2 linked regions of the Ovis aries genome follow. The protein of the gene in region 2 interacts with the protein of the main gene of each other region in a pairwise test. Links are inferred from orthologs where the notes say so. Each region holds a gene or a part of one and is shown on either strand. Other genes may lie near its edges.

Region 1 (4,085 bases), on a different chromosome or scaffold from region 2:
TCAGGGAGCCCGTCTCAAATTCCCCAGATTTAGGATTTGAAAGCAGCCCCCAGCCCCAGCCCCAGTCTCATTATAAAATTCCCTTTTTAGAATCCACCTTCCAACCCTTCATAATCTTGAAGCAGACTGGGAGTTTTGTGTTGGTAAAATGGGTTCTTCTATAACAATATCCTTTCACCCTCTCCATCATGTTTAGGGCAAATCCCAAGACCTTCCCACAGCCACTGGGCCCTACATGATCCGACCTCTGAGCCCCCACTGAAGTTTAAAATGTCAAAATATCAAAGAATATTACAAATGATTGTATGTCAGTGAAAATAAAAACTTAACATAAAGGCCTTTTCAGAAAAAATAGATCAATAGCCAGTAAAGAAAATTATAATCTAAGACTCCAGTGCAAAAGAGTCCCAGTGGAAGGGGAACAGATGGTCCTTATCTTATACTAGTTGTTCCAGAAAACAGAATGAGAAGAGGCTGCCCACTTCCTCACACAACTCCCAAACCAGATAAGGACAGTATCAGAAAAGGAAAAGTATAGAGCATTTCAATCTGAACCTGGAAGCTAAATTATGATCTACTAGAATAAAATGTAGGAGAAGAAGGCCCCACCTCGGAGTAGGGTAAGGACTTAAGACATTCAAAAGGCAGACCCTCATGCAAAACCTTTATGGATCTGACTACATCAAAATTCAGGATTTCTCCGAATCAGGGATGCAGAGAATAGACTGCTGGTTGCCAAGGGGGAGGAGGGTGGGAGAGGGTTGGATTTGGGAGTTTAGGATTAGCAGATGCAAGCTGGTATGTATAGAATGGATAAGCAACAAGCTCCTACTATGTAGCACAGGGAACTATATTCAGTGTCCTGTGGTAAACCATAATGGAAAAGAATACGAAAGATGATAGAGATACACATGTATAACTGAGTCACTTAGCTGTACAGCAGTAATTAACACATTGTAATTCAACTATACTTCAATTTAAAAAAATGAAAAAAATTAAGGATTTCTGCTCCACAAAGGCCCTCAGAGATAATATTGACAGACAGGTGGTTGCAATCTAGTGAATACAGAACTCCTGCACAAGTTAATAATAAGAAGCATAATACGCAGCTGTGAACAGAAACAAGCAGCTCACAGGAAGGGCCCAGAGGCAAAAAAGTAATGCAGAGCGGGTTGAAGAGGTAATCAGCACAACTCAGTTAAACTTACAATGAGGGGACGTCCCTGTCTGCCCAGTGGTTAGGGCTCCGTCCTCCCAGTGCGGGGGGTACAGATTCGATCCTTGAAGAAAGTGAACGTGTTAGTCACTCGGTTGTGTCTGACTCTTTGCGGCTCCATAGACTGTAGCCCTCCAGGCTCCTCTGTCCATGGGATTTCCCAGGCAAGAATGCTGGAGTGAGTAGCCATTCCCTTCTCCAGATCTTTCCGACTCAGGGATTGAACCCAGGTCTCCTGCATTGCAGGCGGATTCTTTACCATCTGAGCCACCAGGGAAGTCAATTCTTGGTGGAGGAATTATGATCCCACATGTGGCATGGCCAAAAGATTTTTTTATTTTTAATTATAATGAGATATCTTTTTTTTTTTTTTAAACCAGGAGGCAGATAGAGGGAGAGGGACGCGGCAGGTATTATCTGCTGTCTTCACAGGGTGTGAAGACCCTTTGGGATGGATGGTCCAGAGATTCCTTTGAGAGATGGAGAAACACAGGCTGAGCAAGAGTAGGAGGATTATACCGAGTCCATAGGAAGTCCGGACTTGGCCTGGATCTCTGGACTCCTGGGCCTGGACTCTTCCTCAGCGTCCTGCCGAACTCTCCCCTCTGGAAGGAAGCTGGCCTTACATAGAGCCTTCCTGGTCTGCTTTTGCCAGAGCCCTTGAGACAGGCTGAGGACTGGTTGCCATAGAGATGGTGGGCCGGGCAGTTCCAAGGTTGGCAGATGGGGGTGGGGGATGGGGCAAGACACCAATATGCTAAACGCCCACCAACAGTTGGTCAGGACTTCTTCCGGGAGACCTGGGCAAGACACACGGCAGCAGGCTCCAGGGGCCACCCCAGGTCTGCTCAAGCTTCTCTCAAGCACCCACTATGCTGAGCAGGTGAGAGGGGGCCCCGCGGGGGGACCGCCAACCGCCCAGAGGCAGGCTGGCTCTCTGGGGTGGGAGGTCAAGGTTGAGGGAGGCCACAAGATTGGAGCTGAGGCCCAGAAGAGAGTCAGGGAGGTCCGAGACGGGCAGGGACGTGGGGTGAAGTGGAGGATGGTGCCCAGTTATGACTCCCAGGCTTCTGATGGGGCAGTTTTGGCAAATTGGGAGGATTTGGGTTTCAGGAAAAATGATGAGTTTTTCCCTCCTTGGCTTTGCAAGGCCAGGGCCCTGTGGGGCACTGAGAAGACCTGTCCAGGGCCCAGAGGCAGCCCAGGGCAAAGGGGGCAAATCTGGGCTCTAGGACAGTCCACACATTAGGTCCTGGCTCTGCTTCCTGGCTGTGTGACTTTAGTCAAGGGACTTCACCTCGCTGAGCCTCAGTGTTCTCATCTGCATGATGTGGGTGAGAGTAAGCAAGGACCTCATAGGATCCTTGTGTGTGTGTGTGTGTGTGTGTGTGTGTGTGAGTGTGTGAGTTCAATAGCTCAGTCAAGTCCGACTCTCTGAGGCCCCATGGAGCATAGCCTGCCAGGTTCCTCTGTCCATGGAATTTTCCAGGCAATCATACTGGAGCAGGTTGCCATTTCCTTCTCCAGGGCATCCTCCCGACCCAGGGATTGAACTCACACCTTTTGCGTTTCCTGCATTGGCAGGTAGATTCTTGATGACTAGAGCCCCCTGGGAAGCCCCATAGAGTCCTTGGGAAGGAAGGTTAAGTGAGTTAGTGCAAGAAAGTCGTGGGCATGCAGCAGATGCTCGGTGAATAGCACCATTGCTTTTTAAGATTTATTTACTTATTTTTGGCTGCTCTGGGTCTTTGTTGCTGCAGGTGGACTTTCTCTAGTTACAGTGAGCGGGGGCTGCTCTTCCTTGTGGCGCTCGGGCTTCTTATTGCAGTGGCTTCTCTTGCTGCGCAGCACAGGCTCCAGGTGTTCAAGCGTCAGTAGTTGCGCCGTGCAGGTTCAGTAGTTGTGGTTCACGGCTCTAGAGCGCAGGCTCCTTAGTTGTGGTCCACAGGTACAGTGGCTCTGCAGCATGTGGGATGTTCCCAGATCAGGGATCAGACCCGGGTTCCCTGCACTGGCAAGCGGGTTCTTAACCACTAGACTGCCACTGTTGCTATTTTAATAATAATTCAGGTCGTGATCTGTCAGTTCCAGGGGTAACAAGGGCCCAGAGGGCCAGGCGGGGTGCACAGTACTGTCCGCTGGGTGAGTGGCTCAGAGCTAGGCCTCCTCTCCTACCTTCGCCCAGAGGAGTCTTGGAAGTGGTGATGGTGTTATCCATGCCCAGAAGCAGAGGTCTCAGAGCGCGGGGCAGACACCAAAGAAGAACCGGAGGCTCAGAGGCCGGAACAAGAAAGGGCAAAGCTCTGCGGAAGCTGAGGAGTAAGTAGCTGTGGAGGGACGGGAGGGATGCAGGGGGCCAGGCCCCGCTGGGGGCCGGCGTCCAGGCCCTGACCCCTGCCCCCTGCCCTCTCCCTCCTCAGTCTCGTCCCCTCTCCTCCTCGGAAACCCTCCTTCCCCTTCCAGTGGGCCTGGGAGAGCTTCACCGCAGACGGCCGGGCCTTGCATCAGCCGAGCTCCATCTCGGCCCCTGGCCCCCAGGCCCTGCCTTTGCCCCCAGCGGTCCATCACCACAGGTCCCGGCGCAGGTCCACGCCCACCCTCCTGGAGGCCCACGGCTTCTGCTGGAAGGCAGAGGGGCCGAACCTGGAGAGGAGACAGCAGCTCAGGGCCTGCAGCTGCACCGCCATCCCTCCGGGCAGGGGGACGAGCCAGGAGCTGGAGCTACCCGGGGAGGGAGGCCTGCAGTCACCCAGGAAGTCCTTGGGGTCTGGGTCGGAGCCCGAGGAGTCTGAGTTGGAAGGTCTGGGAGACGAGGAGGCCGAGAGGGGTCTGATTCCGGGAGAACTGCCCCAGCTCCCCAGGAAGGGGT
Region 2 (3,513 bases):
GCACTCCCCTGGGCTGTCTGACTTCTTTCTGCAGAAGGAAGGGCCGGGTATGTCCACTGCAGCATGGAGCTGGCTTGGGCCCTCACCAAGTTATCCTTTGCACTTGAAGGCACTTGGCCTCACTGAGCAGTTTGGTTTATATCAGCAGGACTTGCAATGATGAGTCCCTGCCCACAGCCTGTCTCTAATGGCCAGGCAGCTGCCTCTGGAGCTGGATGCATAGGTGGCCCCAGCATTTGCTGGGCTCCTCTGGCTCTGACGGCCACATATTTCCTAGGGTTTCTCACCCTCGTGTCTGCCCTCTGCTTCCCAGCAGGGTAGGGAGCTGGTCTGGACCTTGAAAGTGGCACCGCTCCCTTCTGATCCTCCCAAGATGAACTGAGTCTGCATTTTCCCCAGGTTGTTGCCAAGCTCCAGGAGACGGAGCGGCGGCTGTGTGACCGAGAGGTGGTGCTGAAGGCCGTGACCCGAGAGAGAGACCAGGCCCTGCAGGCTCTGCGGACACATGGGCTACTCCCTGAGGAGGAGGCGCAGGTGAGGGGCCGCCCTCCTCCTGAGTCTCCCTTGCAGCTCTTCCTCCCAGGCTCCTTGGAGATACCCGCTACCCCCACCAGAGGGGAAGCACGCCAACCAGAATCAGCACTGGAGGTAGATCTTTGCAGCCATGTTTCTTTTAAGATGACTGTTCACACCAGGTGAGACCAAAGCTCAACCAGCTAATGGGAATCTGCACTCAATCTTCTTTGTGTCTTTAGTATCTGAAATATCAAAAAACCTCAAATTCAGATATTGTACCATGGCAGACGGTAACACAGAGAACCAAAAGGTCAGAGCTTTATCCCAAAACACGCTTCTACACATGTGGTGACTGAACCATTCGATATGTAACGATGGCCGTTCCTCTCAAAAAGCACAGACTCCCGTGCTGCTGTGTGCCAGCCAGAGCCTGACACTGGCTATGGGACGACCCCAAGGTGAATGGTGGCCCCGAAAGGCGTATTCTAGTCCTGGTGCCTCAGGGTGCAACCTTCCTTGGAAATAGGGTCTTTATGGATGTGATTAGTTAAGATGGATGATTAATTAAGATCACATGAGAGCATCCCAGCAGGCATACTAGGCTTGATGCCCTAGGGGTCAAGCTCCCGAAGGTGTGTCTGTTAACAAACCTCTGGGAAGATTCACACTCAGCCAGTGGTCAGGCTTGGGAGCACTGGTGTTCCCAGGAGGAAAGGGGGGGCCAACCCTAGTCTCCAGGGTCACCTATGGTCCTGGGGACTCATCGCTGGTGGTTTTTGCATGGGTACCTTCTCTAGGTAGAAAACAAATGCTTCTTTTTTGTTGTTTTTATTAATAAGCCTCCCTACCCAAATTTTTCTTTTTTGTATTTTACCGCCAGGCTGACAATTAAAAGAAGACATTTGTCTCCAAGCACCAGCTCCGCTGGTCAGGGAGGCCTGTCAGTACCTAGTTGCCTTGTTAAGTGAACAGGAACCTTAGAAATGGCTGAGGGGTCAGAAACAAGTGCCGCATGCAGAGTCGGGGGGATGTGCACCTCTGTTCTGTACAGGGGGCCCTGGAGGCAACATGAGGGGGCGTGGCAGAGCAGCACCTCGGGCACCAGTGAAGGTGAGCTGGCCTGGTGGTCTTAACACAGAGATGTGGCCTCCTTACCAAGCAGGGACCTGGGGTGGTGGAGGATGCTGTGCAAGTTTCTGTTGACCCAGAGGAGTGAAGTCTGGAATCCTCTAGATAATAGCAAAACACCTGCGTCCCCCCTTCAGGGCCTTAATACTGTGACCAGGTTAAGGGTGTGGCCGGGTAAGGCGGCGGATGTCGGCTGGCAGGCGGCGGTTGGTGCTGAGTTCTGTAGAGGTGGGCCCTTGGCAGACACTAAGTAGGAGCAGCAGGGGCGTCTGTCGTGCACTGAAGCCGAGACAGAGGCTGCTCAGGGAGGAAGACATGGCGCTTCCTGGGAAGCGCTGAGCCCACCACTGATTGCACTGCACAGACAGGCAGCCTCTTGGCTGTGGCCACAGCTTCCTCTTTGCTTGGCACTAGTTTCGATGATGGCGCATCGGCAGGGCCGGAGTGATCACCCCACAGAGACCAAGGCACCACCGCCAGGCAGGCTGCTAGGGTAAATGCAGCCACAGCCACAGGGACAGAAGATTCACCTTGGGAATGGGCTGCACTGCAACTTTGAGGTGGATCCTGTTGTTCAGGACAAGGAAGCTGAGGCCCTAAGAGGGGTAGTCCCTTCCCCACAGGTGGCAGAGGGGGAATGTGAGCAGTGCTGGCCAGTTGGCACAGCCCTGACCACTCTACTGTCTGCCTGAGCAGGTGCAGCCTAAGGCTTTGCCTCAGAGAAGGTGGCGAACAGCCCAGTGGGCACAAAGAGGGAGGTTGGATGTTTGCAGGAGGAGTAGTAAGGCAATAGCAACCCACTCCGGTACTCTTGCCTGGCAAATCCCATGGACGGAAGAGCCTGGAAGGCTGCAGTCCTTGGGGTCGCTAGGAGTCAGACACGACTGAGTGACTTCACTTTCACTTTTCAGTTTGATGCATTGGAGAAGGAAATGGCAACCCACTCCAGTGTTCTTGCCTGGAGAATCCCAGGGACGGGGGAGCCTGGTGGGCTGCCATCTATGGGGTCACACAGAGTCGGACACGACTGAAGCTACTTAGCAGCAGTGGGGCCAGAGCAGTGGCTGGAAGGAGGCAGGCAGGTGCATAGCGGAGCCAGAGGTGGCTTGAAAAGCTGGGGACTAGCGGTAACAGAAGAAATAGCTTCACTTTGGAAACAAAAGTAATATATACCACTGCAGAAATTTTACATTAGTTCACCCTAGTGCTCTCTGGAATAAAGCTGACCCAATGTTCACCCCAGCTCAACTCCATGGCCGGACCTCTCGGCGTGGTATCTTAGTGGGAAGTCTTCTAGGTTTCATTGGTTCTTATGAGAAGTTGGCAGTTTCTTTTATTTGTCCTTCCGCAGGAATGTAATGTGCCCTTTTTCCTCTGGTGGTTTTTAAGAGATTTCCTTCATCCCTGTTTTTAAACAGTTTGACCATGATGTGCTCTTTGGTGTGACTTTCTTTGTGTTTATCTTACTTTGGGTTTGTTGAACTTCTTGGATCTGTGGACTCAGGTTTTCATCAAATTTGAAATTTTTTTGCCAACGCGTTCTGCATCCTTCTGCACCCCCTCATTGATCTGGGTTCGTGTATGTCTGCTTCCCATTGTTCTGCAGTCGTTAGGCTCTGCTGTTACTTGTTCTTTTGTCTTCCACTCTGTTCTTGAGCTTGAAGGCTTTCTACTGCTCTGTGTTTATGTTCACTTAGCCTTTCCTCCTGTAGTATCTTATCTGCTCTTAATCCCATCCTATCCAGTGAATTTTTCCTTCAGACAATGTATTTTTCATCTCTGTAGATGCTATTTTGTTCTTTTTGATATCTTCCATTTCTGTTTTTTCATATTTTTCTTTAAATCCTGGCATATATTTATGCAAACTGC

The links. The genes of interacting proteins can lie anywhere in the genome.
Region 1: the proteins of CCDC57 (region 2) and TSGA10IP interact in binary tests that used the Homo sapiens proteins (3 or more experiments, as listed by UniProt). The two-hybrid records come from large-scale screens. The link is inferred for Ovis aries from reciprocal best matches to the Homo sapiens genes CCDC57 and TSGA10IP.

Annotation. Positions count from the first base shown.
Region 1 is NC_056074.1:40,484,866-40,488,950, forward strand, and holds the start of TSGA10IP (testis-specific protein 10-interacting protein), read left to right. Parts: upstream 1-1,276; 5' UTR 1,277-1,952; coding exon 1,953-2,099; intron 2,100-3,401; coding exon 3,402-3,535; intron 3,536-3,636; coding exon 3,637-4,085.
Region 2 is NC_056064.1:50,203,079-50,206,591, forward strand, and holds part of CCDC57 (coiled-coil domain-containing protein 57), read left to right. Parts: intron 1-399; coding exon 400-534; intron 535-3,513. UniProt on the Homo sapiens protein: Pleiotropic regulator of centriole duplication, mitosis, and ciliogenesis. Critical interface between centrosome and microtubule-mediated cellular processes. Centriole duplication protein required for recruitment of CEP63, CEP152, and PLK4 to the centrosome.